Linked DNA regions of Notamacropus eugenii. The protein of the gene in region 4 purifies or fractionates together with the protein of the main gene of each other region. This does not show direct contact. Links are inferred from orthologs where the notes say so. Each region holds a gene or a part of one and is shown on either strand. Other genes may lie near its edges. The genes, in order: WWC2, PDLIM7, STXBP4 and PTPN14.

What was found.
Region 1: the proteins of PTPN14 (region 4) and WWC2 purify together in Homo sapiens (affinity purification with mass spectrometry, with the first as the bait; 3 studies listed by BioGRID). This does not show direct contact. The link is inferred for Notamacropus eugenii from reciprocal best matches to the Homo sapiens genes PTPN14 and WWC2.
Region 2: the proteins of PTPN14 (region 4) and PDLIM7 purify together in Homo sapiens (affinity purification with mass spectrometry; 3 studies listed by BioGRID and IntAct, counting the BioPlex papers as one, with this or other methods). This does not show direct contact. The link is inferred for Notamacropus eugenii from reciprocal best matches to the Homo sapiens genes PTPN14 and PDLIM7.
Region 3: the proteins of PTPN14 (region 4) and STXBP4 purify together in Homo sapiens (affinity purification with mass spectrometry; 3 studies listed by BioGRID and IntAct, counting the BioPlex papers as one, with this or other methods). This does not show direct contact. The link is inferred for Notamacropus eugenii from reciprocal best matches to the Homo sapiens genes PTPN14 and STXBP4.

What each region holds. Positions count from the first base shown.
Region 1 is NC_092878.1:101,434,056-101,442,044, reverse strand, and holds the start of WWC2 (protein WWC2), read right to left. Parts: upstream 3,176-7,989; 5' UTR 2,758-3,175; coding exon 2,627-2,757; intron 1-2,626. UniProt on the Homo sapiens protein: Regulator of the Hippo signaling pathway, also known as the Salvador-Warts-Hippo (SWH) pathway.
Region 2 is NC_092872.1:414,317,646-414,325,617, reverse strand, and holds the start of PDLIM7 (PDZ and LIM domain protein 7), read right to left. Parts: upstream 3,294-7,972; 5' UTR 3,166-3,293; intron 2,589-3,165; 5' UTR 2,523-2,588; exon of another isoform or gene 2,466-2,522; intron 1,757-2,465; exon of another isoform or gene 1,561-1,756; intron 1,388-1,560; 5' UTR 1,369-1,387; coding exon 1,273-1,368; intron 1-1,272. UniProt on the Homo sapiens protein: May function as a scaffold on which the coordinated assembly of proteins can occur. May play a role as an adapter that, via its PDZ domain, localizes LIM-binding proteins to actin filaments of both skeletal muscle and nonmuscle tissues.
Region 3 is NC_092873.1:366,587,346-366,594,909, forward strand, and holds the start of STXBP4 (syntaxin-binding protein 4), read left to right. Parts: upstream 1-4,250; 5' UTR 4,251-4,430; intron 4,431-7,564. Other genes in the region: COX11 (cytochrome c oxidase assembly protein COX11, mitochondrial), read right to left, coding at 754-909, 3,947-4,195. UniProt on the Homo sapiens protein: Plays a role in the translocation of transport vesicles from the cytoplasm to the plasma membrane. Inhibits the translocation of SLC2A4 from intracellular vesicles to the plasma membrane by STX4A binding and preventing the interaction between STX4A and VAMP2.
Region 4 is NC_092873.1:423,312,502-423,320,800, reverse strand, and holds the start of PTPN14 (tyrosine-protein phosphatase non-receptor type 14), read right to left. Parts: upstream 3,042-8,299; 5' UTR 2,927-3,041; intron 1-2,926. UniProt on the Homo sapiens protein: Protein tyrosine phosphatase which may play a role in the regulation of lymphangiogenesis, cell-cell adhesion, cell-matrix adhesion, cell migration, cell growth and also regulates TGF-beta gene expression, thereby modulating epithelial-mesenchymal transition.

The DNA.
Region 1 (7,989 bases), on a different chromosome or scaffold from region 4:
GGATTGACAAAAGTTAACAGCTACGCCAACTGACACCTCTTACACTGTTTAAAAAAAACTATACTCCCTTTAGTTATCCTAAAAAAAGAATCATGATTAAACCAGGAATGAAAGTTCTGTCAATATTGCTCTCACCTCAGAAAAGAACTTAAAAAAAATCCCAATACTTAGAGCAAAAGTAGTCACATCTGTCCAACATCCCCAGAGCATCCATCACAGTACTAAAGTAATATGGACCAACTTTTTGGCTTTTAGTCACATCAGACAAAAAGATGCATTGTTTACTTATTTTCCTGACAATAAAATTCTCAAGAATTGATAATCTAATAACAGTTTAAAATAACACACAGCTGACTTGTTTAAGAAGCATTGATACAGATAAGCCTAGCTATATAATTATATTTCACTTTCTATTTGCTTTCCTAGGGCATTTACATTTTCTGGTAATCTTTTTTTTATTTGGTAAATATAGAAAGGAAGATAAAATCTAAAGGGCAAACTGAAGCAGAATAGAACTTAAAATACCCAAATATTTCAAGAATTTCCTGAAATTTCAATAACCTACAATTACAAGTATTGGAAAAAGCAATAACTACCCCACAAATGTCGAAGGCAAATATTTAAACAGGTGCATCAATGACGAAGTTCCATGCATAACATTAGAGCTGACATTTACTATCTGTTAAGTGGTTTCAAAGTGCAATGGGGTAAGTCAAATAACACATTTACAGTGTTAAGTTTATGGCAATACCTAATATGACTGGAGACACCTGTAGAAGGTGTGATGTTGGTCAAAACTTTCACTCTGCAAGAGGTGGGCGCAATTCTGACAAGGGATAGGTCCTGCACAAGTACGTTTTCTAATTTTCAGTAGGGAAACCTAAGCTGATACCTTCATGGATAATTTAACAAGGATTGTTCCATGAATATATAATGTCATTTATAACTTCCTTATAATCACCTTTAATAGCCTTTACAAGTAATATACAAAAGGTAGAAGGAAGCTACAGTATAAAGGATAACAATATTGTAACTATATTCCAGGGCTATTTCTACTTCAGATCTTAAAAAAACAACTTTAGAAGGGGAAGCAATTTAAAGAGTCTGGTTATTAACTTCTCTGACCACATTCCATAAATAACTGAAGAAGAAATTTCAGAAAGAGGTAAAAGTCCAAAAGGGCTGAGTTATTCTTGATTACTGTTACTATTAACTATTATTATTACAACTAGCCAAATTCACCCTCCTAGTACGAATAACGACCAACTTACTCTTTAAAAAGAAAAAAAAAAGTGAGGAGGGACAGAGATGTAAAATGTGAACACTAGATACACTAGATATTCACTAGATACACTAGATATTTTTTAAAGTTCCAGAATGGTTTAGATATATAGATACACACATATAACTATGTAACTACATATGTAATATTATATGTAATATGTAATAATATTTGTAATATGAAGATGTAATACATCTTTCTAGGTTTAATCTTTCCAGCAGAGACAGGCTGCCAAAATCTGACTTCCAAAGGGTGGGCTTGGGCTCCCTACACTGTATCTAGTTGTAAATTCCAACTATATATTACATATATAGTTTTTCTTTTATACCTACAGGCTAGGAAAAGGCAAACGCTTCCCAAGCGTAGAATGGGAGCGAGTAGATGTTACATTAGGTCTCCAAAGGCTAAAAGACCAACAGGTCTCCTTCAGCCTTGGCTAAAGAATAGTTTCAAGAACTGTACGATAAGGAAACTGCCCAGTTCGCTATCTCAAAGTAAAGGCTACTCGCTATAGGGTAATGAAGCACATAGTCTACATTTCTAAGAATGGGAAGGTAGTGGAAGTCAAGTCAGCTATTGAACTGTATACATTACACACTCAGGAGGATGTAATACATCTTCCGAGGTTTAATCTTTCCAGCAGAGACAGGCTTCCAAAATCTGACTTCCAAAGGGTGGGCTTGGGCTCCCTATATTGTATGTAGTTGTAAACTCCAACTATGAGAGAAGAGGGTGGGGTGTAGGAAGTCCCACTGACAGAGATGTCTACAGGTAGCCTGGGTAACTCAGTTCCCCATCTCCCCCACTTCAAGCCTTTTGTTTTGGAAGGCAAAGCCTCCTCTGGAACAGCCTTCTGTCCCCTACCCTGGCTCTTAATCTCTTTGTGACTGTTAGGAGCCCCGGCCTGACATCCCTCCCAGCGCTCGGGAGACCATCCATCCACCCGAGTGCAATGGGGAGAGAGCTGGCTGTCCAGCACGGCCTACGACGGACAGCTTCAGACCCTCCCTGCCACGGCTCCTGCACCCGGGAGGGCTCGCGGGTCCAGCCCCCTGGGCTCATCCCTCCGCCAGGCTGCCTTCGCCCAGAGCCGCGGATGCACGACGAGGTCCCCCAGCGCCGGCTCGGCCGCGGGTTCGAGCCCACCCCCGGGCTCCCGCCGCAGCTCGCCCCGCACCGGCAGCGGCCGCTTCTGCCCGGTCTCCCGGACGACAAACGCCGCCGCTGCGCAGCGCTAGCCTGCGGCCGCCCCCAGCCCTCAGCCCTCAGCCCTCGGGCGGCAGGATGGGCCGGGGGATGGAGGGGAGGGAGGGGGTCTCCCCGGCCCGGCCCCCGCGCCCCCACCTGTCCCGGGGGTCGATCCAGCTGGTCTTCTTGGTGTTGTGGTCGATGTAGAAGACCTTGCCGTCGTAGTCCCTGGCCTCCTCCCAGCCCTGGGGGAGCGGCAGCTGCCCATGGCCGGCTTTCCTAGGCATGGTCGTCGGCGGCCCCCCCGGGGTACGGCTCCTCCATGGGGAGCGGGCAGGGGGCACCGGGCGGGAGCCCCGCGGGAAGCGGGCAGGGCACCGCGCGGCACAGGGAGGGGCGGGGTGCAGGGGGCGGGGTGCAGGGGCGGGGGTGCACCGGAGCGGGGACCCCGACACGGGGCGGGGGGGAGCGTCCAGGAAATCCTGCTCCCTGTCCTGTTTGGGATCAGTCCACCATGTCCACTTGGGAGCCGGAGACTGACTAGGATTATCCCCCTCCTCCTCCTCCTCCTCCTCCTCGCCGCTGCCTCCGCCTCTTCCTCCTCCTCCTCCTCCCCCGGGTCTCCCCGCGGGCTGCCCGACTCGCCGCCGTCTGGGCTGGGATCCGGGAAAAGCTGCGTCTTCGCGGCGGCGGCGGCGGCGGGGGCCGAGGATCCTGCTCATTTGCATATGATTAGCATCCTGCCCCGCCCCTCCCACCGCAGCCCCGCCCCCTCCCTCCCCTCCGCTCATCTGCATGCACATTCCTCGCCGCTGCATTCCTCGGGCTTAACCCTGCGGCTCCCGCGACCCTCTGCAGCGCCCCGGGGCTGTCCTGCCCCAGCGAGGGGGTCCGGGGAAGGGAGGGGGAAGCTAGGTGGGAGGAAGGAGGAAGAATTTTTAAAATCAGCTTGTTCCCCTTCTCCCTCCCTGCCCTCACAAAGACCTAAACACCTCTTGCCCCCCAAGAATGGGAGAGATTGCAAAAGGGAAACTCTGACATTTCCTCCCTCTCTCTGCCCACAGCCTCCCAACTTCCCTGTGGGTTCCTGGAGGAGCGAGAGGAAGGGGAATCTCCCCTTCGGGCGAGAAAAGCCGGATCCCCCCAAAGCCCCCAGCGCACAAACAGATTCCAAGTCCCCGCCCAGCTCCCCCCTTTCCTTCCCTTCCTACAGTCCAGTGTCTGGCAGCTGGGTGCCCTTGCTGGCTTTGGGGGGGCGGGTGGGGAGGCAGGGCATCTGCGGTCCGCAGCCTGAATAAAGCCCCCGGCACTTCGGTGGCTGTTGCTTAGGAGGTTTTCTTTTCGGGACTTTCATCCAAGTGCTCCCCAGTCTGTTCACTTCTCAGGTGAGCCTTGTTTCTTAGGGAAAGGTAAACAAGTCCTCGGAGGGAAGCAGGTACAGGCTTCACCCTTAACGCCTAGTCCTGCATGTGTGTTGGCTGCAATGCTGCCTCTCCTCTGCCGGCTGGTGGGCTTCAGGGCTATCCCCAGGAAGGGACAAAGGAGCCAGGGTTTGGAAGCTAGTTGCTCCATTGATGTCAGGGCAGGATGACACCCTCGCGCTCCAGTCACGTCGATTTCTGGGAAGGTCCAGTGCAACAGAAAATTCCTGCTTTACTGTGAATGTTCTCATTGTGAACCAGGTAGCAAGTCAAAAGATCGCCTCATTCTAGGACAATTCTGTTGTAGTTGTAATGACATATCAGGCTGAGAATGCTTCAGCCCGTGGGGTAGATAGTCCAGAGAAGACCCTCTGGGAGGGCAGAATCATGAAGTCCACCCCGGGGAAGGCCCAGTGCGGCCTTGGAGCTCAGTAGGCTTTGAGAGACTCCTGGTTCTCTCATCCTGGATGAAACAGGAATTTTAAAAAACCATTCTTTGAATACAGTGTATCAGGTACCTGCCATGTGTTGAGCCCTATACCTGCCCTCACAGAGTTTTACAGTTTTCTTGAGAAAACAACACATGATAACCAATAAAAGACAAAGAAGAATTAAATTTTGTGGTCAAAATAATGTGTGTTTTAATAATTCAGAGAAGAGGGAAATCAAGAAGGATGGGAATAGTTAAGAAACTGTCACCTGGGCAAGGCTCTGGATCTTACTACTTAAACTATAAAACAAGGCGACTGGCCTACATGATCTTAAAAGGCTCTTCCAGCTAAAATTCTGAGATTCTAGTCCTTAGATTTACTCTGGAATTATTCCTTTGTCATTCAATCAACAAGTATTTCTATGGTGTGGAACCCATATAAGATTGCATGGGGAGAGAGGGGAAAAGGAGGGGGAGAAAATTTAAGACTTGTGGAAATGATTGTTGAAAACTGAAAACAAATAAGTTCATTAAATTTCAAAAGGCACTGAGGATTAAAAAATAATGAATGAAACAATCCCTACTATTAAAGACCTTTAAGGAAGAAACAAAAACATATTTAATAAGTTGATGTTCAATTGTGTCTGACTCTTTATGACCCCATTTAGGGTTTTCTTGGAAAAGAGTGGTTTGCCATTTCCTTCTCCAGGTCATTTGACAGATGAGGAAACTGAGGCAAGCAGAGTCACATAGGTCAAATTTGAACTCAGATCTTTCTGACATAGGCCCAGTGCTCTATCCACAATGCCACTTAGGTGCACCTTAGAATAAATAGCCTGCTCAAATAGAACCATAGATCTAGAGAGGGAGGCACATGTGGCCCTCTAGGTCCTCAAGTTCTACCCTTTGACTGAATCGTCTAGGAAGGCCAACAGGCCACAGTAAGGAAACTAAGGTCCAGAGAGATTGAGTGAGTTGCTTAGGATAATACAAGTAGTAAAAAGGCAAAGAAAGGATTTGAACTCAGCTCCTCTTACTACAGGTCTAATGTTTCCACTGTACCAGGCTAAGTAGAGTCATTGCAGGAGCTATAATTAGAAGAGCATTTCTGGAGAGCTAGGAAGAAGGTAGGGAGAGGATGGGCTAAAGGGCCCCTCTGAAAACCCCTGAGCAACCTGGAAAAATTCAGGATTTTCCTGGTTTTTCAACAGAGGTTAAACATGGTCTATGGATACTGGGCAATGATAGTCAAGACATTAGTGGTTCTTAGGGAATACTTGGAAATCACATTCTTTCCCATATCCAAAGAAAGAATGAACACAATTTAATCTACCAAAAAGAAAAAGTCATTTCAAATTAAAAGAGTAGCAGTCACAACACTACAAAAATGATAGTCACTAATGTATAGAGACTTTAATAGTGACTACAAGGGGCCAGGCTTGACATCTGACAAGGCACCTGGACCCAACCTTCCTCTGTCGGTGCTGAATGACTCAGCCCTAACCTGACCTCCTGCTGTGAAGTCTGGAGTTCTGTTTTCTTCTTCCTCAGAGTGGAGCTGAATACTTCTATAACTGGGCTGCTACAACCAACTGCTCTCTCACAGGGTCCCAACAGGAAAACACTTCTACTGCTTACCACTGGAGCTCTTGAGCCCCTACAATGTGCTTCTCATTCAAATGAAGTCAGTCACTAGGACAATGTTAACTCAAGCCTAAAGCAAAAGCAGCCATCATAAAAATAACAGTAACAACGATAATAAATTATTAAGAATAAACCTTTGCTGTAACCTGCTTGATACTTTTTCAGTCTTTTTGCACCATCATCCCATGTCTCCATCTCCCCCCAACCCCCTGTTCCTGTGATCTAATGACACTGACTTTCTCTCAGTTCACTGAACAAGAAATTCTTAATCTCTTGACTCCAGGCGTTTTCATTGACTGTGCCCCCTGCCTGGGATGCTCTTACTCCTTCCTTATCTCTGCTTCCTGGCCTCGCTGAATTCCTTCAAGTCCCAGCTAAAATCCTACCTTCTTTTACAGGAATTCAGACTTCTATGAGAACACTTTGTTCCCTTTCCTCGGTTGATTATCTCTGATTTCTCTGGTATGTAGCTTGTTTGTACATAATTGTCTGTGTATTGTCTCTTCCATTAAACGGTGAACTCATTGGGAGCAGAGACTGTTTCTTTCTTTTCTTTGTATTTGTCACTTAGCACAATGCCTGGTATATAGTAAATACTTTATAAATATTTATTTACCAACTGATTAATAACATTTACTCAACAGAAGGCAAAAGCCTGAATGATAAAAATCACAACTTAAGTGAAGGCAAAAACAGAAATTATAAAAACTTTTCTACCATCTATATTCCTGGGTCACGCCCTCCCACCAAGGCTAACAGTATTTGAGGAGAAAGAGGAAATCTATAGAAATCTAACAGGAAAACATAAAAGTTGTAAACTTATGTGTTTTGGGTATCTTACACCCCTGGGCTCCAAGCTTTGATACATCTAGTCCCTTTAGGAACAATCTCCAACCTATGAAGCTGTTTCTCTGCTAGCCACTCTCTTTCTGGTCCTGACCTATTCCTTTTCTGCTTTCAAGCTAACAAAGCAGATAAGATCTTTTCTCTTGTAGCCCAACCTTGATAAAGACAGAAGAAATATTGTTAAGTTCTTTCAGTGACAAGAAGTCACTTTAAGTTGGAGAACTGACAGACTCCTCAGCTCTGCAAATACTAGGGAATTCTGCTTCATCCAATTCTTTCCAAGTCTCTTCTTACAGTAAAAAACAGCTCATAGCAAAACATATGCACAGTCTATCTTTCCCCCTATGTTTCTTCCTCTCAAGCCAGAGAGGGTATTAGACACCAACCATACAGCCCTCTCTCAGGTGGTAGAAGGTGCTGGAAAGCAATATAAGCTTCCTCTGCACACTTTAGAATTTAGCTCTCTTCCCAACAGCAGAGCGGCTGAAGAACTCTCACTTAACTCACCCTTTCTCTTGTCCATGATCAAAGAAATCTTTCTCTTCTAATCAGCAGGTTCCCAGCTAAGCAGCTACAAAATTTTCTTGTCACCTTAGTCCTTGTCAGATTTTGTATTCTGTCTTCTGTAAACAATCTTTGCCGTCTTGAGATGTTTCTTGACCTCAGTTTAGTAGGTGGCACTGTGGATAGAGTGTCAGACCTGGAGTCAGGAAGATTCCCAGTTCAAATTCATTTTCAGACACTTATTAGCTGTAGGATCCTGGGTAAGTCACTTTAATGTCTCTTTGCCTCATTTTCCTCATGTGTAAAATGGGGAGAATAATAGTGCCTACCTCCCAGGGCTGTTGTGAGGGTCAAATGAGATAATTATAGAGTGCCTGACACATAGTACCTATTGCTAGCTACTTCTTCCTCTCATATGGCTTCTGCTGCTGCTGGCTTCAAATGAGGGCCTCCCAGTTTTCAGTGACCCACTTGTAACTTGATGAGGCAAAACTCCAAAAATCCAGTTTTGTCATCAATGGACCCAACAACCCCTATATAATCTTCCTGTAACCCACACTTATTTGATTTATGATTCCTTAGTTATAAACTTCAAAATTCTAAAAATAGTCACATGCAAAGAAACTGATGGAACACAATGGTCCGCAACCACTACTTTACCTTCATCTCAGTGG
Region 2 (7,972 bases), on a different chromosome or scaffold from region 4:
GCATCCCTGTCTGCCTTCAAAAGCTCACAGGATATTGGATTAAGAGCTAAAGGGGACTTAGACATCCACTGGCCCAAGGCTGCCCATTTTAGAAATAAGGAAATGGAAGTCCTGGGAAGTTAATTTGTCCATTGTCTCCCAGGTAGGAAGAGGGATTTGAACTCAGGTCCGCTGCCTCCACAGTCAATAATTCTCTTTCCACTGTAGCACAACACCTCAGGTCACACTGATCTCCCCGGAGCTACACTTGCCCAAGGCCTTGCAGAGTGTTTCATGGAAGGGAAGGGAAGGCTGGGAATTGGGAGACCTGAAACAGAGGCTCAGTGATGTCACTGACAAATGTGTGACTCTGGCTGTGTCACATCCCCTCGATGGGCTCCCTTTTCTTCACAGAGAAAATGAGGGTGTTACATCAGATGATCTCTAACGTCCCCTTCTAGCTTGAATAATCTATGGATTTGCAGATGTGTCATGCAAGCTTTTGAGGGGCAGAACAAAGGGAAGGGGAAAGGAATGAGTATTTATACAGCACCTACTGTGTGCCAGGTACTATGCTAAGTGCTTTACAAATATCTCAAGTGATCCTCACAACCCTACATGGTAGGCTGCGATATTATCTCCATTTTACAGTTGAAGAAACCGAGGCAAGCAAAGTACCTTACCCAGGGTCACACAGCTACCAAGTGTCTGAGGAGAGATTTGAACTCTTCCTGACTCCAGACCCACTGTGTGCCACTGACCAAATTTTATCCATTTCCATCTCACCCTTAGTACTCAGCAGAGCCCATCTGCCCAAACAAAATTCAACAAATGATACTTTCCATAGTTAAAGCACTATAAAATTTACAAAAAATGCTACAAGTCTAGAACTTGATATGCCCTAGGTCACACACACAGAATAAGTAGCAGAGCTGAATTCCAGTTTAGGCCTTTTGACTCCAAAAACCAACCAGTGCACTAAGAAAACTATTTCCTCATGATACCCTTTTAGATAGGTCATGTTATCCCCCATTTTATAGAGTCAGAGGTTAAATGACTTGCCCAAGGTCACTGATGTAGGTAGTAGTAGGGCCAAGATTCAAACCCAGTCCCAAGTGCAAAGTCCCAAACCCTGTCTGCACTCTTGTATGACCTGGAATCATCATCCTCCTGCCCACTAGAACAACCATCAATGGCCCCATTCTTTTTGCTTCCTATGCCAACTCCCAGAAAGAACACATTAATACCTACTGCCCCACCCTCATTCAACGAGGAGGTAAGTTCTTGTCTCACCCGAGAGATGGAGAGGGGCACGTTGAAGTCCTTGCCCCCTTGTAACCGGAAACCCCATGGAGCTGGCCCATCCAGCGTCACCTTGTATGGATTCATGGTGCCAGCTGATTTGTTCCTGAAGGAAAAATAGAAAAGATTCAGCTGAGGCACGCAGGCTGACTGGTTCCTGACAGTGGACATACAGACATCGGGCCAGATGCCAGATGGACAGACATCGAGTCGAGGACTTCGACCTGCTTAAGGGAAAGAGAAGGAACTGCTCAGGCCCTGAGAAAGTTCATCTCTAACCTGGATTGTTTTCTCCCCTGACAACATCCCCCACTAAGTAAGGGGTTCTGCTTAAGGGTCCCCTGAGAATCCAATGGGAAGTAGTCTTCTAGAGTCAGGGATGGGGAGAGCCCAAAAAACTCTCCTCTACCCCCACCCAGCCCCACCCCCTGAGCCTCTGGGTGAGAGCAGGGTCAGAGTGGGGGCAGGCCAGAGTGAAACATAGAGGCCTCACTCAGGCTATATAAGGCATGAAAGCCGATACTGCACGTTGGGGGCTCAGGGACGAGGGGGGGGGGGGTTGAAGGGAAGAGAGATTGTGGGGGAGGGGACTGGAGCCCATCCCAGCCTTGGCTGTTCCCCCAGCCAAGACAGGAAGAGAAGGAGGGAACCCTTTGAGCTGACAGCTGATCTCAGAGGAAAGGAGACCAGGCCTAGGAGATGTGTTGTTGACTCTGAGGAGGGAAAGGGCCTGCTTCTTTTTCTGAAGAGCCCCTAGGGAACATGGGGAAGGGTGGCCTAGAACTAAGACAAACAAGCCTAGTGCTCAACACCCTTCCAGGCTAGAGGTGTGTGTGGGGGTCCTGACATTTGAGGGCCTGCTTCTCAGGGTAGGAAAGGACTAACACCTAGGTAACTATTAGGCCAGGAAAGCTGCTGCCAATATAAGGCAGGCCAGATATATAATATGGCCAGAAGTTCCCTTAGCCCTCCTGCCTCAGTTTCCCCAGAAGCCTGTTAAAATGTACTGTCCAACAGTCTTGTGGACTGGAAGGGTACCACTGCCTAAGGGTAGGTCTCCCAGACATTAGATGAAAGATATTCCCTCTCCCTGAGAAAGGACAGGAGGGGTCTGAGCCTGTGGCAAGTCATCTAACCCCCCCCTGAGGCTCAGTTTCCTCATCTGTAAAATGAGAGGGTCGGACCATAGATGGCCTTGGAGGTGCCTTCCGATCCCCCGAAGAGAAAGGGCAGAAGCTCACGTCCGGAGGTCAGCATCCTCACGAGACTTCCGGAGCCTCTGGGAGAGGTAGGACAAGCAAGGCAGGCTGGTAGCAGAGGAGAAGAACTGACAGATAAGTGCGTCCCGGCACCCCCTCCCCCATCGGGGAGAGCCGAGAAAGCTAAGTCAGCGCCTTCGCCTCCCAAGAAGGTAAACGGACCGGCTCCAGGCGGCGCCTCCAATCCCCCCAGCGATGTCAGCCCCCTCCCCGGGGAGGGACCGAGGGTCAGCCACCCATCCCCCCACCGAGGGAAGGAAGACTGGGGCTGTCCATCAGTCCCCCACCGCAGCTCGGGGAGGAAAGGAGAAGGGGTCCGGTGGTTCCCGGAGTCTCCAGGCCCGCCCGCCCTCCGGGAGAAGCGGACTCAGCAGCTCCCCCACCGCCCCCGGGATGGGGGGTGCTCGGGGCGACTCCCTCCCTGCCTCCCTCCCAGTTCCCGGGGCGGGGCCGCCGGCCGGGCCCTGACACGGGGCTGCTCTCGCCCCAGCCTGAGCCCGAAGCCCCGGGCCGGACAGGGCGGGGTGCCCGGAGCGGGAGCCCCGGGGCAGAGGCGGGGGCGGCAGCGGCAGCCGCGTGGCTCCGCGCTCGGGAAAGCCCGCGCCCGCTGCCCACCGCCGGTTACCTGGCAGCGCTCGGGGCGTCGGGGGCGCCGTGGGGACCGCGGGCTGCGCGCACTCGAGCCGCTTCGGGCCGGCCCCGGCGCGCTCTGGCTCCGCCCGGAGCCGCCGCCACCGCCTTTGAGCTCCCGGGGGCGGGTCTGGGAGGCCCCGCCCCCGATGCCCCGCCCCCGTCCGAGCCCCGCCCCTTCTCCCGCTTTGTCTCGGGCGGCCCGGGGGGGACCCGAAGAGTCCGGGAGCGACCGCGCCCTTCCCACCTTCCCCGCCCCTGCGGGCCGAGCCCCGGAGGATGCCCGAGGGCGAGGTGGACGCTCCCCGGGAGCTCCGCGCCTGGGCCTGCATGCCCCGAGAGCGAGCAGCTCGGGTGGACTTCTCTTTGCAGCGGGGTGGCAGGGCTGGCCCTGGCTCCCGCAGGTCCTCGAGCGCACTCTCCTTTATTTCACGGGGCACCTGAGACTCGGCCAGGTTCAGGGACTGGTCCGGTCACCCAGCTGAGCAGTGCTCGGACGCAGCGTCCGCACCAAGAGCTGCCTTCTGCCAGTTCAGGCTCTATCCAGGATTCCCGGGAGCAGACCCTAATGAGAGCCCAGATCTCCCGACTTCCTGCCTAGACTTAAAAGGGGGGACAGGGTAAAAACGTCAAGACTTGGAGCTTGAGCCCTTGTGTTTTTGACGTCGCCAGGGAGGGAATTTGTTTTTCTTGACTCTACATATTTGTAAAATGTTTTTCTTGCTTTCCCAAAAGAGGAGGAGGAGGGGAGAGAGAGAGAAGGCAGTGCTGAAAATAAAATAATTTTTTAAAAAAGCTTAAAATCGACCCTCAAGATGACCGCAGAAACTTGTTTAGTAACTGTTTACATTCAAATCAATTACTGGGGGTGGGGGACCCTGTAGGTGCAGCACGTGGCACACATGGTTAGGCTTTGTCGATGTACTGATTAGTTGGACTTCACTACTCTTCTGGGTTTTTTTAATCCTTTGTTACAAGGGATGTTTCTCTGGGCACAAGGAGGAAGGAATATGTCTGGAGAGGAATGTGATGTAAAAACAAAAGATATAAATAAAATATTTTAATCAATTTCAAAATGAAGAATCATAAGAATTTTTGGGTCACTCCCTCTCAGTTCACCTCAGAATTCCTTCTTTGTCTATTCATTCTCATTCACTTTTTGTCTTATATGGTCATAGAAGTAAGTATTCCATTCTTCTGCTTTCTCTACTTTGCCGTTTTTTCTTAAAGGTCTTTCCAGAGATTTCTTTGTGTTCTTAACTTGTGGGTCTTATGACATAGAATTCCATTACAAATATACCATGATTTCTTGAATTCTTCGGTTGTTGGACATTTTGGTTGTTTCCAGGTTTTTGTAGTTACATAACATCTAGAAGTCTTTTCACTGACTGCATTGCCCTGTTCCCTGGTACCAATCTCCAGGCACCCTCCAAAGGCTTTGGCCACAACAAACCACCCCCAAGTGTCCCCTCCCCCTCAGCTCCCTTCCTACCAGACAAACACTATATGTCTCCTCCAAGAAACTTTCCCTCATCCTCCACCCCTCCTCAAGGAAGTAACCTGCCCCCCACCCCCCCCGAAAAAAAAATAACCCTTGCTTCTGTTAAGTGCTGCTCGAAGCTGACTGAGAGATCTATGTCTAGCTGACTGTATCCCTATAATCAGCTCAGTTTGATTCAGCCAACTTTATCAAACACCCGATTATACGCTGAGGACAGTCCTACCTTCAAGGTGATTATAATGGAACGAAGAGATCAGACCCTGCTGCTACCCGCTGAACACCTTCACCCAGTCTCCCACCAATAACTAAAATCCAAGGGAGGTAGAGATGAGTTTGAAGGAGAGATCCAGACAAATTGCTAGGAGAAATGTGAAAAGGGAGAGAGAGAGAAAGACAGAGAGAATCAGTTTTACCTGATGAGGGGATAAGGCATCAGGGAAGGAAGCCTTCATGGAAGTGGTGACACCTGAGTTGGCCCTTCAAAGAAGTGGAGTATTTCAACAGATATGTGGAGGTGGGGGTGTGGGATGGTTTTGAGTGAAGACATAAAAATGGGGAGAAGACAGAAGACTAGGAATGAAGAGTGGAGCATGGGCTCTATCTCCTTCTGACCTCTCCCCCCCCCCCCAAAAAAAAGGACTGGGATCTTAGAGAATCTATGGACTTCTCCAAACTCATTCAAGGCAAAGCAAGTTGAGGCAGTTGCCTGGATGGAGACCTAGCTACAGAGAATAATCCAGGCAGGAAAGCAATGAGCTCTCCATCACTGGAGGTCTTCAGTCAGAAGCAAGGGGGCAGGGCAGGTTGTGAGGAGCTTCTATTTTTTATTTATTTTTATTTCTTTTTTTTTTTTTAATTTATTACTAGAGACCCTCTGTGGTCCCTCTAGCTCTGAGATCAGCATCTTCAGTCAAACCCAATCCTAGCCCCTTCTGAGGATGTTTTTGTTTTTTTAACTTTTTCCCAAGGGGCCTCTACCCACAGGGCTGCTTTCTGCCTAGACTGCCCCTTCCCCAGCCTTCCCTACTTTGTCTGTGATACTACCAGAGTTCTTCTTGGCTCTTCTTCCTTCCCTCTCCCTGACCAGTTGCCAAATCTTGTTGATTCTACCTCTGTAATGTACCTTGGATCCATCCCCTTCTTTTCACTTATAGGGTCATAGTTCAACCCTTGCCTGATCATTCTTGCCAGGACTATTGCAATGGATACTTTAATTGGTCTATCCAGGGGTGAGGAACCTTTGGCCTCAAGGCTACATGTGGCCTTCTAGGCCCTCAAATGTAACCCTTTGATTGAATTCAAGCTACATGTGGCCTCAAGGCCACCCCTGGTCTATCCCCTAGTCTCTCCCCTCTCTACTCTTGTCTAGAGGGGTAGAGACCCCTTGAAAAAAGTTAAAAAAAAACAAAAACACCCTCAGAAGGGGCTAGAATTGGGTTTGACCAAAGATGTTGATCTTCACTCAAAACCATCCCACACCCCCACCTCCACATATCTGTTGAAATACTCCACTTCTTTGAAGGGCCAACTCAGGTGTCACCACTTCCATGAAGGCTTCCTTCCCTGATGCCTTACCCCCCCCTCATCAGGTAAAACTGATTCTCTCTGTCTTTCTCTCTCTCTCCCTTTTCACATTTCTCCTAGCAATTTGCCTGGATCTCTCCTTCAAACTCATCTCTACCTCCCTTGGATTTTAGTTATTGGTGGGAGACTGGGTGAAGGTGTTCAGTGGGTAGCAGCAGGGTCTGATCTCTTTATTTGATGGTAAGGGTGGAGCAGGGCAAGCCTTTCTGTCTTTCCCACTGCCCCCAGTCCCTGTCTGACCTCTAGGGATTGCTGATACCACTGATTCTCCTAGCCTTAGTGTACATGTTCCCAGTTGTAAGCTTTTTCAAGGGGACTGTACTAGCAACATAGAGAAAATGGAAAAACTTCCAAAGTACAAAAATGGCCATGGCCTTCTCTCTGTTCCTCACAAGCAACAATACCATCTTTCATCTTCAGGCCTGTTCACCTGGCTGTCTCCTGTGCCTAGAATGCATCTGTGTATCAGTCAGCCTCCTCCCCAAAGCATTTTTTGATGCATCCCTCAGATAGTGAACCCTCTCAGATTTTCCTAGAGCATTTGGACCTTTTTCTTTGCCCCTATCATATTCTATCTTGGATTATATTTATCTGGGTACATATACTAGAGGCAGCTAGGTGGCATAGTAGATAGAGTGCTCAGCCTGGAGTCAAGAAGACCTGAATTCAAATCTAGCCTCAGACACTAATTGTGTGACCCTTGGCAAGTCATTTGATTCCTACTGTCCCCCCCCACAAAAAAAAAAAAAATGAGCTGGAGAAGGAAATGGCAAGCCACTCCAGTGTCTTTGCCAAGAAAACCCCAAATGGGATCACAAAGAGTCAGACACTACGGAGCAATAACCACAAAACACATACTACTCCTTCTGAAGGCAGGAATTATGGCACCACGTTGTAATGTAAGAGCATGCTAGATTCTGAGTCAGAAACCTGAGTTCAAATCCTGGCTCTGGTACCACTTGCTCACTGTGAGACCTTGGGTGAAATCACTTCAGCACTTTCAGGCTCACGTTCTTCAGCTACAAAGTGCGGTTGATTATGGACAAGGTGACCCCTAAAGTCCCTACCAGCTCTAAAATTACAGTCCCATGAATTTTCATCGTTATGTCCCCATTGCCTAACATAGAGCCCTGCATTCTATATGCATTCTATAAATAAATGTCACAGTCACTAAATAAATCCTGTCGAATTAAATTATCCTATAATCTAGGAAATGGCAAACCACTCCAGCATCTTTGCCAAGAAAACTCCATGGACAAAAGTCCGAGACTGAAAGACTGAACAACAGCATGTTATAATATGATGAGAGAGGGAGTTTTTCAGGCTAACTAGAAAGGGCCTATCTAAGGGATCCCTAGGCCTGTACACCGACTAACAGTGGATGGGGTCTGTTGTGCCCCAACCAGAGAACTCCTCCTCCCTACTTCTCATTCATTCACTTAACAAACTACTCAATTTATAAGGTACTTGGGGTACAAAGACAAAAATAAAAAAGTCATTGTCTTCTAGGAGTTTCTGTCTTGCTGAGAGAATACAACACATACACAAGTAAGTATATATAAAGTGCTTTGATGAGAGAGGGAGCACTAATGAGGGGAGGACTTAGCTGAGTCGAGCTCTGAAGGAAGCTTAGAACCCTAAAATGGAAGGTGTGCCACACCTACGGGGCCACAGCCTGTGCAAGGCAAAAAGAGGGGAATTGAGTCCAGAGAGCTAT
Region 3 (7,564 bases), about 57 Mb from region 4:
AGGAGAAAGTAGATGATGAGGAAGTAGAGGCATCATAAACTGTAAAAACTTTCAAGAAGTTTGGCAGTAATGAGAGAGAGAGAGAGAGAGAGAGAGAGGAGTAACTGGCTGGAATAGAAGTGTCAAAGAAAGGTTGTTTAAGGTCCTAGGATTGTAGACCATGTTTGCAGAGCAGGGAGGGAGAAACAAGAGGAATGAAAGACAGGTAATGGTTTTTGGAGGGAAGGTCAAGTGAGGAGGATTGAAAATAAAGGGGAAAAAATGTTCTGGCTCTCAAGTTAAAGAGATTACATAGTTTAGCAAGTATTTTAATCAGGGTTTTATAGCAGTGATGCTAACGCTCACCATGATCATTTCATGAGAATCCAGGAGTTCCTGAAACCTTGTGACACTCAGTTCTTGGAAGCAAGGGTGGAAAAAATGTATGGGAGTGGGAGAGGAGAGAAAGAGGAAGAGACTAGGCAGAGGGAAGGAGAGAAACACATTAACATGATTAATATTAGTCATAATTTATAAATTTTTAGATGTGATTTTCTAAAGATCTGAAATTACTTAAGAGTAACAAGAATTCATTTTTGAATTAAAGTTATTATCTAGTCCCATCCTACCTCTAAAGCTGACCCCTCCTGATGGCCTATGGAGGGTCATACCTCTCTGGGCTTTAGTTTACTCATTTGCAATATGAGGGGTTTGAATAAGATAAAGGTTCTTTCTACCATTCAGCATGGACTACTAAATGTGGCAATCACTTACATATATTTCGGTTTGTTGAGGCCTAAAATTCCAGTGAAGACTTGCATGCACATCTGCATTGAAGGTGACTTTAATGATTCGATCCTTAACAGGTACCATAGTCTCAATCTGGTCTGAAGCATGACCAGCTACAGGTGACCCACCAAGTCCTGTGGTCTGGGAAAAAATTATTACAAAGTATATTAAAAACAAGATTTATAGATTTTTAATGAAGGTGCATCATAATCATGAAACGTTCCTTTAAAACACTACCACAGGATTAAAGGACACCTGATCTACAGTGGGCAGCTAGGATAGTGTGCCAGGCCTGGGGTCAAGAAGATTCATTTTCCTGAGTTCAAGTCTGGCCTCAGACACTTACCAGATGTGTGACCCTGGGAAAGGCACTTAACCCTGTTTGCCTCAGTTTCCTCATCTGAAATGAGTTAGAGAAGGAAATGTCAAACCACTCCAGTATCTTTGCCAAGAAAACCCCAACTGAGGTTACAAAAAGTCAGACACAGCTGAAACAACTGAACAAAGACAAAGATCTACAACTAGAAGGCACCTTAGAGGCTAAAGATTTTTTGGGGGGGAGTTGGGGTTAAGTGACTTGCCCAGGGTCACAAAGTTAAGTATCTGGGTTGGATTTGAACCCAGGTTCTCCTGACTCCACCTAGCTGCTTCCCCCACTACTCCCCCAAAAAAGATTTCAACCAAGTCCTGAAGTCCCAAAAATATGCTTTCCCAATGGAGCAGAGAACTACTATTTTAAATATGTCTTCAAATAACTGTGACAGTGCTCCTAATTGCTTCAAAATATATAAACATGCTATGCTACCATTTAAATTTTGTTATTATTAGTGCACCTTTTAAGATAAGTATGGAATACCTACATTTGTACAATCATTTTACTTTTAAATGTTGAACATCTTAACTAATTTCCAAATCAGTTCACTAAACAAAGCAGAAGCTAGCACTAAATAACAAAAGGCATCTGAGGCTTTATTCTAGTGGCCACATCCCTAAGAACCTGATAGTCCAGTCATTTAGTCAGTTCTAGATCAATCTAATTATATTCAATTGAAAGCATTTATTATGTTCCAGACATTGTGCTAGGCATGTATAAAGAAAATATCAAAGCAAGAGTACTTGTTTCAAAGGGCATACATTTTAAAGAGGAAACAACAGGCATATACATACACATATGTATATACATGTGTATATACATATCTACAAAACACACAAAGCAGATATAAGATAAGCAGGGATTGGGGGATAGACGTACTACCAGGAAGGGCCTTATATTAAAAGTGGCACCTGAGTTGAATCTTGAAGGAAATTCCCAGGAATTTCCAAAGTTGGAGATGACAGAGAGTTCATTCTAGGAAAAGGCGAGTCAGTGCAAAGACATTGCCTGTCATTTGCAAAGAATAGAAAAACTGTAAAATGCATGGGAGGAGTAATGTGTGATCAGGTTGGAAAGGCAGGATGGAACCATGGTTTAAAGAATTTTAAATCATAAAGAGGAGTTTATATTTAATCTGAGAGAGGGAGACACAGCTTCATCAAGTAGAGTTCAGACCTGAACTTTAGGAAAATTACTTGGCAGCAGTGAGCAAGAAGGTAAAGATAGAAGGCAGCAGGCAGGTCTGTTTAGAGGCTATCTCAATTGTCCAGAGAAGTGAGGAGGGCCTGAGTGGAAAGTGATTGCCAGGGGAGAGATGTAAAGAGATGCTGCAGAGGTAGAACTGACAAGATCTGGCCATTAGCTGGGAATGTCAGGTCTCCAAGTCTAGCTGTGCCTCCTAATTGCCTAACAAGCAGGAGCCTGGTCTTCTCTAAATGTCATTTCCTCCAGGGCTCCATACAATGTTCTGTACCCAAACACCACATACTTTGTAACCTAACCCCTCCCCCCCCTGCCTTTCCAGTTTTCTCACACCTTACTCCTCAACTACTACTTTGTAACCTAACCCCTCCCCCCCCTGCCTTTCCAGTTTTCTCACACCTTACTCCTCAACTACTACTTTGTAACCTAACCCCCTCATGCCTTTCCAGTTTTCTTATACCTTACTCCTCAACTACTACTTTGTAACCTAACCCCTCCCCCCCCTGCCTTTCCAGTTTTCTCACACCTTACTCCTCAACTACTACTTTGTAACCTAACCCCCTCATGCCTTTCCAGTTTTCTTATACTTTACTCCTCAACTACTACTTTGTAACCTAACCCCCTCATGCCTTTGCAGTTTTCTCACACCTTACTCCTCAACTACTACTTTGTAACCTAACCCCCTCCTGGCTTTCCAGTTTTCTCACACCTTACTCCCCCCAAACTACCCTGATCCAGTGAAACTGGCTTCATGGCTGTTTCAAGAACAAGACACTGCATCTTTTGGCTCTGAGCATTTTCTCTGGCTGTACACCCTACGCATGGAATGCTCTCTCTCCTGTCTTTGCTCCAACTAAAGACCTCCCTGACTTCCTGTAAGTCTCAATTAAAATCCCACCGACAGGAAGCCTTCCGTACCCCTCTCAGTTTTAGTGCTTTCTCTCTTTCCATTATTTCCTATTATTTGGTTGCATTTTTATCTCCATGCCAGGTTGTAAGCTCCTGGAGAGCAGGGGCTGTCTTTGGTCTCTTTTTGTATCCCACCACTTGGCACCAAGTTTGGCACACAGTACGTGCTAATTAAGTGTTTCTGGAACTGAACTTAATAAATATTTGATGAATGAATGATTGAATGAATGATAATACGGGCAGTGTCACAAAGGACAAAGTGCGGGAATCTCCAGAGCAGGGAGCTGGTTAACAGCATTAAAAGATGCCCAGAGGTCAAAGAGAATAAACACTGAGAAGTCACTGCATGGAGCAAGCCTGCATTCACACAGCGCCTTTGTAAAAGCTTGCAAAGCACTTCACGTAAATTATCTCACTGGATCCAGATCACCAAAGACAAGGAGGGGTGGGCGCTATTTTTTACGCCCCTTTCACAGATGAGGAGGCTGAGGCCTGGAGAACCCAAAGTCACAAAGGGCTGTAGGGGGCCGGGCTGGGATTCAAACCTCAGTCCTCTACAACAGACCCAGACTCCTTCCCGGTAAGGTCCCGTCCAGTCGGCGCGACCTTGGGCCCGTCCCTCCCTGCTCCGGGCCTCGGTTTCCCGGCGGGTAGGAGGAGCCTCCGGGTCCGGGTTGCCGGCGGCTGCCCTACCTGGCAGTAGAGGCGGTAGAGGGGCACGGCGGCGTACGAGGCCCCGATCATGCCCACGGCGGCCGCGGCCACGTACGTGAGCACGGTGCGGTTCCGCCGCCGCCACTCCTGCTCCTGCTCCCGGGCGAACGGGTTCGTGCTCTTCGGCCTCCACGGCGGCTGCCGCTGTTGAGGGGCCGCGGCCCGGCCGCCCCACCAACCCCAGCAAGCCTGGAGAGGCTTCCAGTGGGGCCGCCCAAACACCGCCATGGCAACCCGGGCGAAGCGCCCGAGCCCCACTTCCGGCCCCGGAGAGCGCGAGATCGGGCCCTCGCGAGCGTGGCTGCTGGGGCCCCGTGACGTCAGAGCGCGCCGTCGGCTGGCGCGGCTTCTCCAGCCCGCTGCGGCGGCAGCGGCAGCGGCAGCGGCGGAGATAGCAACGGCCCCTCTTCCAGCAGCCTCGGCTTCGGGGACGCGCTACGGCGGCCGAGCGGCCGGATTGTGGGTGAGTTCGCGTTTCGCTCCCGGGCTCGAGCCCCTCCCTATCCGGCCCCCAAACTCCTAAGCTTCTGGTTCCGCGCGTGGAATCTTCCTCGGTGCCAACCCACTCCCGCTCGAGTCTGGGGCGAGAGTTCCGCTCAACCGGAGACCCCGCCGGCGGCCTGAGCCCCTCCACCCACCCCCAGTTACCTCTCCCGATACTGATAATGAAAGGAGGCAGGCTGAGAGGGAGAGCCCGAGTGTGACTCGCGCCTCTGCCCTTCTTGCTGTGTGACCTGGGCAGCGTCGCTCAGCCTCTCTGGTCCTCGGAGCCCAGCTGCACCAGGAACGACCTGGGCTAGACCAGAGGTTCCTTACATTTTGGGGAGGATTGTCACAGACCCCCTGTAGCATCCCATCGAGCGCGCTTTATTAAGTCCCTACCAGGTGCCGAGCACAGTGCTAAAAGGCTGGAGACAAAGAGAAAAACAAACCCCAGCCCCCGTTCTCCAAGAGCTCGTAGTCAAGTGGCAGCCTCGTAGACCCGATGAACTCCCCGACCCCACCTCACTCCCCAAGGTTTTAAAATTCATAAAATACATGGGATTTTAAGTCAAGTCGGCAAGCATTTTTTAAGAGCCTATTGTGTTCGGGGTGCTTTGCTAAAGGCTTAACAAGTATCCCACGGAGGTAGGGGATACCTTTATTCCCCTTTTGCACATAAGGAAGCTGAGGCTGAGAGAGATTGAGAGACATGTCCAGGGTCACAAAGCCAACACTTGTGTGAGGTGAGAATTTGAACTCAAGACTTTTCCAAGTCTCTGCCCTCAAGGAGCAGGGGACAACAGCGCATGAAAAGGAAACCAATTACCTTGAAATACAGTGATATCAAAATACTTAAAATGGATTCTCCCTGTTGATAATCCCTGGACCAGATAATTTTTTAAAAATTAAATTCTGTCAAATTTTTTTTCCCCATCCTACGGGCGTTTGTTTTTGTCCCTTTCTGTCATCTTCCCCACTCCCAAACAAACAAACAACAGCAAACCCCTTGTAACAAGTAAGACATAATCAAGTAAAACACATTTCCACATTGGCCAAAATAGATGTCTCATTCTTTATAATGCAGAATATTTAAAAACCTTTCTGCTTCCGTGGTCTGGATCTAGTGATTTAAGGACCTACATTTTCTTTCTTTTTTTTTTTTTAATTAATACATTTAATTTTAGTTTTCAACATTCATTTCCATAAGCTTTTGACTTCCAAATTTTCTCTACATCTCTCACCTTCCCCACTCCGAGACATTGTGCATTCTGATTACCCTTTCCCCCAATCTGCCCTCCCTTCTATCACACCCCTCCTTTCCCTTATCCACATCTTCTCTTCTTGTAGGGCAAGATAGTTTTCTATACCCCATTACCTATATTTATTTCCCAGTTGCATGCAAAAACAATTCTCAACATTTGTTTCTAAAACTTTGAGTTCCAACTTCTCTCCCTTCGTCCCTCCCCACGCATCCCCACTGAGAAGGCAGACAATTCAATATAGACTATACATGTGTACTTATGCAAAAGACTTCCATAATAGTCATGTTGTGAAAGACTAACTATATTTCCCTCCATCCTATCCTGCCCCCCATTAATTCTGTTCTCTCTTTTGACCTTGTCCCTCTCCAAGTGTTTACTTCTAATTACTCTCTCCTCCCATTTGCCCTCCCTTCTATCATCCCCCACCCCACTTATCCCCTTCTCCCCTACTTCCCTGTAGCGTAAGATAGATTTTCATACCAAATTGAGTATGCATATCATTCCTTCCTTAAGCCAAATGTGATTGAGGGTAAGCTTTTTCCCTCTCACCTCCCTCCTTTGCCCCTCTATTGAAAAAGCTTTTTCGTGCTTATTTTATGAGACATCATTTGTCCCATTCCATTTTTCCCTTTCTCCTCCTAGTATATTCCTCTCTCACTCCTTTATTTTTTTAGATATCATCCCTTCCTATTCAACTTACCCTGTGCTCTCTCTCTATATGCATATAATCCCTCCAACTACCCAAATACTGAGAAAAGTCTCAAGAGTTACAGATACTGTCTTTCCATGTAGGAATGTAAACAGTTCAATTTTAGTAAGTCCCTTATGATTTCTCTTTCCTGTTTACCTTTTCATACTTCTCTTGATTCTTGCATTTGAAAGTCACATTTTATATTCAGCTCTAGTCTTTCCATCAAAAATGCTTGAAAGTCCTCTGTTTCATTGAATGATCGTGTTTTCCCCTAAAGTATTATACTGTTTTGCAGGGTAGGTGATTCTTGGTTTTAATCCTAGTTCCTTTGACATCTGGAATATCATATTCCAAGCCCTTCAGTCCCTTAATGTAGAAGCTGCTTCATCTTGTGTTATTCTGATTGTATTTCCACAATACTAGAATTGTTTCTTTCTGTCTGCTTACAATATTTTTCTTTGACCTGGGAACTCTGTAATCTGGCTACAATATTCTTAGGAGTTTTTCTTTTTGGATCTCTTTCATTAGGTGATCAGTGGATTCTTTCAATATTTATTTTACACTCTGTTTCTAGAGTATCAGGGCAGTTTTCCTTGATAATTTCAAGAAAAATGATGTCTAGGCTCTTTTTTGATCGTGGTTTTCAGGTAGTTTCATAATTTTTAAATTGTCTCTCCTGAATTTATTTCCAGGTCAGTTGTTTTTCCAATGATATGTTTCACATTGTCTTCTTCTTTTTCATTCTTTTGCTTTTGTTTTGTAATTTCTTGATTTCTCATAAAGTCATTAGCTTCTATCTACTCCATTCTAATTTTTAAGGAACTATTTTTTTCAGTGAGCTTTTGAACCTCCTTTTCCATTTGACTAATTCTGCTTTTTAAAGCATCTTCTCATTGGCTTTTTGGAACTCTTTTGCCATTTGAGTTAGTCTATTTTTAAAGGTGTTATTTTCTTCAGCATATTTTGGGGTCTCCTTTAACAAGCTGTTTACTAGTTTTTCATGATTTTCTTGCATCTCATTTCTCTTCTTAATTTTTCTTCCACCTCTCTTACTTGATTTTCAAAATCCTTTTTGAGCTGTTCCATAGCCTGAGACCACTGCATATTTAATTTGGAGGTTTTGGTTGTAGAAGCCTTGACTTTTATGTCTTCCTCTGATGG
Region 4 (8,299 bases):
TCCTTCTCCAGATCATTTTACACATGTGGAAACTGAGGCAAACAGGGTGAAGTGACTTGCCCAGCGTCACATAGCTAGGAAGTGTCTGCGGTCAGAACTCAGGTCTTCCTGGCTCCTGTACAGAGTACCATGGAGTCAGGAAGACTTATCTGGCCTCCACTGGACACAACTGAGCAACAACCTGTCTCTCTTCCCTTCCTCAGGTGATAAAAGCTCTGGAATTCATTTTATTTGTTGAATACTTACAGACAAAACTAAAATAATAGAGTAGGATGTGGATGAAGGAAAAGAAACAAGGGAGAAGTAGGTAGTGTTTTGAATAGAAACCAAACCTTGCCATCAGGAAGACCTGGGTTCAGGATCCACCACTAACAAATACATGCTGTGTGACCCTGGACAAATTACTTCATCCCTCAATGCTTGGAGGCACTGAGAAATTAAGACTATAACTGGGTAGAGAAGCAAAGCTGTTGTGCAGTGATAAAGGGAGCTTTCTCACCAAGAGTTCCCTACATCAAAGACATTACTAGTCCAGACCAAAAAGAAACAGAAGGTTTCACAGGTAGTCCATAAACTGAACAACCAGCTCCTGGATATTCAACTGAATATCTTTAATCCCATTCAAAAAGACCTAGATTCCAATAAGAAAATAAAGATATAAGAGGAACTCATCTCAGTATCTCACCCTCACCTAACAATTCAAGAAAAATTAAAGTCTTTATGACACTTGAAACTTCTGTTATCTTTTTAGTGTACTGAAAGGCTCTTCCATTCTTGGCTCATTTACATGCTGCTGCCTGCAACTGAAATGTTTGTCTAAACTTAATGTCTACTTTAAGTATAACTGGCTAGAAAGACTTGTCTTCACCAACCACTCAGATCATACACCTTCAAGGAGAATCTTCACCAGTAGGTGGAGAGGCAAAGACAAACACAAGTGGTTATTTAAAAGAAATAACCACACATTTTTCCCAGTCAGATGCCTGATGCATAGAAATAAAATCACAAACACTAGCATGGCACAACCACCATGCACAAGACTCAGGCACTAATCATAGTAGTGCTATTAATAAAAGCAGCATGTTACACAGGAAAGGGCACTAGATTGACAATCAAAAAGAGCAGAGTTCCATGGCTAACTCTAGCTGATTATCAGTCTGATGAACCTGCCCAAGTCTCTTAACCCCACCCCCTCTTGTGGAATGCATATAGTGTATGTAAATATGAGTGTATGTACACATTATATATGGTGACATATGATATCAGCCCTACAAAGAGCAGTTCATTTAAAAACAAGCTACAAGTTGACACTTGCACTTATTATGATACCATAATAACCTTCTAAATTAGCGACCTTATACAGTATAATATCAGGCTAGAGCATAAAAAGCTGTTATATTCTGTTCAACTTCCTACATGTATCAATCCGTCCCTAATAAAGTTTCAGGAAAAAGAAAGTGGCTCTTATAACTGTGCTGCAGCAATAACCATAGCATTTCTAAGTGAGAAGAGAGTGAGCATTACTGACAAAGCACTCACTCTCACCAATGCATGACAAAGGCAAAAGTACATTTCAGATGTTCTTTGATCTCTATAGTGCTTACACAAAATAGGCAAGCCATTGGGCTTACTCCTAAAATGGATGAGCAGTAGCAAAGTCCCCACTGCTGCTACAACCTGCCACTTCACCGCTCTAAGAAAAGGTGACCGCAAGGAAAGGTGGAATAACGCAGCTACTGACAACCTCGACAACCTGCAGCCCATAGTAGAGCTCAATCCACACCTGAGGACGTATGGGCATAAAAGTCCCTTTCATCAGGTTGATTCAAATCTGTCTGTGCCCTAAGTCATCTCTATCACTGGAGAAAAAGGCTTCTCCTGACCTCTAACCTTTAACTCAGCCCCTACTTGACTGAATTTTCCTGTGGTTACTAAATCTTGATTTATTCTATCCTGGGTATTTTTTTTCTTTCTGTATTTGATGGTTGAGGGGAAAGAACCATCATTTCTTTTTCAAACTGATCCGCAGAGGAAAAAGTAGTACACTGTCAAATATCCTTGCTGCAAGAGCCCTTGGTTGCAGAACTAGAAGACGTCCCCACTGGAAAGCAACAAGTAAGAACCCCATGCTTCCGTCCTGAGTTCTCGCCTTACAGAGAGCAAACAGAAAAGGGGGCAGAAAGCTAGGTGGACAGCACATTTTACCTTTCTGCTCCCTCCAGGTGAGACGATGCTAAGCCTCCAGCAAAGTGTCCCCCTAAAAACTGTTTTCCAATGAGGAAGGAGTTGTTAAAGCTCAATCCGTTTTGTGGGGGATTTTTTTGGAAGAGGAGGAGTGAGCCAGAAAAAGTTTGGTCCCAGACAAATTTCAAAGATACGGGCTACGGGGCCCAAAAGAGCTGTTGGCAAACATGGGGCCTAGTGAGGGGCAGGAAGAAACTTCTCTATTCACCGGGCTTCCCCGTAGTGGGCTAGGCGGCGGGGTGTCACACCAGAGGAGTCTGCCTCCCCTCAGTGGAAGAGAACGTTCTAAATCCCTTATCACTCCCCCTCCCCCAACAACGTGGATATCTTCAGAAGGCAACCCTTCCCCCCAAAACTCAAAGGAGTTGAAGGAGGTTTCGGCTGATCAGACCCCTGGCGACCTCCAACCCTCACCAGGCAAGCTCTGTGCCTTCACTATGAGAATAATCCAACTGGCCAGCCAACTCCTGCACCAGCGGAGGCGTCCGTCAGTCCGTCCGTCTGGTCTGTGGCCGGCCAGAACGCAAGTTCGCTCTCCAAGTGTTTGCCAAAGTCATCTGCAAGCAGCGGCGGAGCTGAAAGCCAGCCTCCCAAAGCCCCTCTGGGGCTCCAAGCAAAGGCACGGACACCGGAGCTCCAAGCCTCAGCCAACACGCTGTGTGTTACGGACCCCCACACTTACCTGCTTACACGTCCCCCCCGGACAGAGGTCCCGAGTCCCCCACGGAAAGGTCGGCGGCGGCAGAAGCTCCAATTCCCCAAGGAATTTATTACAGTGGCTGATTTGGGAAGGGGAGGGGGGAAGTAGTTGGAGGAGGAGGAGAAAGGGGAGGGAGGTTTCCGCTCGGATCAAGCGAGGAGAGTCCAGGAAGGGAAGGGAAGGGAAGGGAAGGACCGGAGAAGGAAAGGGGGAAGGAGAGTGAGAAGAGAAACCTAGTCATCCAGTGTGGGTTTTGTTCCGCGGCCGGGAGATCCCAAGGCTTAAGGCCCGAGAGGATGGGGTGAGGTGGGAGGCAGAGGGAGGGCCCGCTAGCAGCTACTTTGTGTTTGCTCTCCCAGGAGGACTGAAGGTTGGAAGAGGGGACGGCGGGGCGGAGGCAAAAATAAAAAGTTACGGCAACCTGCCCCAAGAGCTGCTCACGTTGCACTCCGGGGAGGGAAAAGTTTGCCCTGACTTTCGTGGGCTAAGCAAGCGAGAGCTGCAGGAAATGCAAGCAGGGAGAGGGGAGGGAGGAAAGGGGCCGCTTGGGGGAGAGAAGGCGAAGCAGGCGCCGGGGGCAGCGGCGCCCCCACCCCCCAACGCGGCTGGACTCCGAGGCGCTGGGGTGCCGGGAGGAGGAAGGAGGGAAGGGGCTCGCGGTGGGGGGCGGAATGGAATGTGGCCCGAAGAGGAGTCCCAAGGGTGTAGGCTTTGCTGCTCTGTGAGCGCGCCTCTGTGTGTGTGTATGTGTGTCTGTGTGTGTGTGTGTCTGTGTGTGTGTGTGTCTGTGTGTGTGTGTCTCTTTCTGCGTGTGTTTGGAACACGAAGCTGGAGCTCCCTAGCCGAAGCAGCCTGCTCAGTGCGCTGAGCTCTGGCCTTGGGGACGTCACAGAGCAGGAATCCGTGGAATGTGGGGCTGCTGGAGCTCCTGTTGCAGGGCCGGTAGATGTCCAGGGACTTCTAAATATTTTGCTTTTAGGAGGGGGGAGGGAGGGTGGGGATAGTGAGAAGAGGTCGAGGTGAACTACCATCCAAGAGTCATAAGCTTCAGAATGGAAACGGGGAAAAAAATACCCTAGCTGGAAGAACGTTGCAGCAAAAGTGCAGGAAAGAAAAGCCCACCTCCGTCCCTGAGGGGCGGAGCTACAGGAGGGGCTTGACCAAACCCTCTGGGAGAGACCAAATATACCCCCCTTTAAGGGGACCCTGTGCCTGGTCACCCCACGCACAAGCTTCCAGGAGCATCTGACACCGAAGAGAGCATCTCTGAGAAAGCAGTGGACCATTGTATCCTAAGCATGCTTAGTGGCTTTCGGCCAGATTGGTCTTAGAGCATCAAGGACCTAGTCTCCTTGACGACCCCCCCCCCTCCGCTTATAAAAAATGCATATAAATAGAAACATAAATGGAATGTATCTTTCTTCCTGATCATGTGGTACCACATAATTGCTCCACCCGTGGGCTTGGCACTGGAAGAGTATTTCCCTAAATCTTTTGGAGGTGATGTTGAAGTAAAGCAGTATGACGGGTAAAAGAAGCCCTGACCACAGTTATAGGCCTGGCCCTTCCACACTGACTAAATCTACGACCTTGGGCAAGTCCGGACCTTTTGAGACTAAAATGATGGTTGGAGCCCTCTCAGATTTCTTATACTTTGGGTGGTAAGGGGGAAGGAGAAACAGCAAATATCCCCTGATCATTATCTAATCACAATTTTCTATTCTTCCACCTCTCCAACTATTACATTAAGCCTGTTCCTTAGCCTAATTAGGACTTTCAGTTCTTTGACCCATTCCTAGTCTCCTATCCGATCTCTGCTTTATTTGCTTACTATTACTGTCGCTACTACCCTAGAATCTTGTGTACCTCACCCGCCCCACCCCACCACCCACACACCTACTGCCATTCCAGACCTGTGAATCTTCATCCCCACAGTCCAATGGTTTGATCCAGCTCCAAAGTCACAAAGCATAGATTGAGGTAATCAGTCAATCAGTTTAAAACAGTTATTAAGCATGCTAGAAATACAAAGAAAGGGAACAACTGTCCCTTCCCTTACTGCTCTAATTCTATAAGGAGAGACCACATATAAATAAGTACTTACATGATACATACAAATAACTTCATGTGGGGGAAGGCACTACCAGCGGGTGGAGAAAGAAAGTCTGCTTACACAAGGCAGGATTTGAACTGAGTCTTGAAAGAAGTCAAGGGAACTAAGAGGTAGAGGTGAGGAGAAAGAGAATTCCTGGCATGAGGGAGAGACATGCAAAGGTATGGCTATGGAAGATTGAGTATAGTACTCAAGGAAGAACAAATAGGTCTTTGTGGCCAGAAGATTGAGAGCTTGAAGAGAGGCAAAGTTTAAGAAGACTGGAAAACTAGGAAGGGGTCAGGAGATTAAATACCTTAAAGACTAGGATACTTATATTTTATTCTAGAAGCAATAGGAAGCCACTGGAGGTTACTGAGAAGGGAGGTTACATTATGAGACCTTTGCTGTAGAAAAATCATGAAACAGCTGACTTCACTACCACTACAAATTTGTTACATAACCTTAACTGGACCTTTGATAGTGATCCACCCTCCTTCAGTATCTTTTATTCATTCTCCATTTTTATTTTCCACAGTATATTTTAAGCTTTCTCTCCTCCTCTCTACACCACAAGCCCTCACATTTACAGCATATAATCTTGCTTCTGAGTCAGTTCATCGATAAACATTTATTAAGTGCCTATTATGTATATCCCAGGCACTCAGTAGGAACACTGAGGTAATATGGTGGTGTAATGGAAAGAGTATATATCTGGAGTCAGGAAACTTGGATTTGAGATCCTGGTTTTATCACTTACAGCCTCTGTGACTTTGGGAAATCACTTTATTTCTTTGTCCCTCAGTTTTCTGTCTGATGATGAGAATGAAGTAGTTATTGGTGTCAAACTCAAACAGAAATGGGAGCCACTAATCATGCATAAAGATCCCTTCAGGTGCCATATTAGCTTAGAAAAACATACATGTTCTTAGATTTCTTTTTTTTTAATACACCAATGCATTAGAATCAGATAGAAAGTGATTCAGATCACTCTCAGAAGTGTTTTGGGCTGCTTGCTGCCTGGGGACCCTGTGTTTGACATTTGTAGACTAGGTGACCTTGGAGATTTTTTCCAGTTCTAAATCTGTGAACTTATGACCTCTCCCAAAGTCCCTCCTCCTTCTTCAGTACTTGGCAGCATCATATCCCCTTCTCTCCTTTCCTTTGGTCACAGAAAAAGTATTGCCAAGTCCTCATCTCTAAGAATAATCTTCTACCTCAGGGGTGCTTAACCTGGGTTCTGTGAACTTGGATTTTTCATATAAATATATATATATACACGTATGTATATGTATGTATGTGCATATATGTATATATATACACATACACACATATGTGTAACTATTTTAGTAAAATTGATTTCCTTTGTAATCCAATGTATTTTGGTTTATGAATTTTAAAACCTTCTAAGGATTCTCTAGGCTTTGCCAGGCTGCCAAAGGGAGCCATAACACACAGAAAAGGTTAAGAACTGCTAACCTTACCTGTTCCCTACATACATTCTCTCTCACTTCCTCCAGGACCTTATTCTAGTTATTGTTGTTCAGTGGTTTCAGTTATGTCTGACTGTGACACCATTTGAGGTTTTCTTGGCAGATAATGGAGTGGTTTGTCATTTCCTTCTCCACCTCATTTTACAGATGAGGAAAGTGAGGAAAACAGCGTAATGTGACTTGCTCAATGTCACACAGCCCAGATTTCAACTCAGGAAGATGAGTCTTCCTGATTTCAGACCTGGCACTCTATCCACTGTGCTGCCTAACTGCCCCCTCATTCCAGCCCCTTCTTATCTTATCCCTCATTCATCCCTTTTCTCCTTTGAATATCTTCAATTACCCCCTCTCCCCTTGTTTCTTCCAAACTATCTAATAATATGATTAGGTCTCCCTAACTTAAAGTTTTAAAAAAAAAGCTTTCTTTGGATTTTTTTAACCCATTCAGATACTGTCTTCTCACCACACTCCTCTACATTACTTGGCTTCTTGAAAAGTTGGCTATATGCAGCATCTCCATTTCTTTATTTCTCTTCTACCATTTACATTCTGATTCTTCTGAAATTGTTCTCTCAAAGATTACCAGTAACCTTGTGATTGTGGAATTCTACTTGATTTCCCTCTGCCTTTTCACCAAGAGTGTGCTAGTAAATGTTTAACAAACAGCTTTCTAGTCAGGGGAATGAACATAAAACACACTATGTTTCATCTATTCTAACATTTTCTCAGTCACTTTTTAGGTCTAGACAAGCACAAAAACAATAAATCAAGCCTGATTGCATTTACTGATTTCCAAAGTCTAAATGCTCATACTGAAAAATAAATTGGATCCAGGTAGAAGATGAGTCCAGCACATGACTGCTTTTAACCAAGTTAACCATTTCCTTTCGGAAGTACTGACTCCTATGCTTCAGAGACACATTTATATTTTTGTTTGCTTCTTACTTCTCTATTTCTTCTCTTTCTCCTTCCCTGGATACTCAACTCCTTTTTGATCTCTTCTTGATCTAACCTCAAGGGTCTGTCACATGGTTTTCAAGTCTTTATCACCTCTCTTCTGAGTTTCATATCTGCTTCTTCAATTGAGTTCAGATATCCAACTGAATGTCTCACCACTACCCCAAACTGAAGATGTTCAAAACAGAATATATTGTCTTTCTTCCTATTATCAGTCCTCTCTTACTTTTTTTGCACAATTTCTATCTTTTACCCCATCACCCAACCTTTTTTTCATGTTTATAACCTTGGGGTTATCTTTGACCCTTTTCTCTCCTTCAGCTCTCATAATCCTAGAAATTCCACCCCCAAAATATCTCACAAATTCATTCCCTCCAGTTTATTCTCATTTTCATCACTCTAGTGGAAACGCTTATTATCATTCCCTTGAACTTTTGCAATAGCTTTATGACAGATATTTTTTTACCTTTATTACCATCCTCTTTCCAATTTGTTCTTCATTCACATTGCCAGAATAATTTAGGTTATGCTTACATCTGGTAATGTCATTCATTTATGCAAAAATGATTGCCTATTATCTTCCAATTAAAGTTTAAATTCTTCTACCTGACATTCAAGGCTTTTCACAATCCAATGTCACCTTATCTTTCCAATGCTATCTCATCTTATTCTCCTTCACATTCTCTCCACTCCAATTAAACTGGTCTACTCTCTGTGACCTCTGATTCCATGCCATCCCTTATGCCTAGAATACCTCCCTTTTCTATTGAATTCCTAAAAATCTTCTAAAAACAGCTCAAATGACACTTTCCA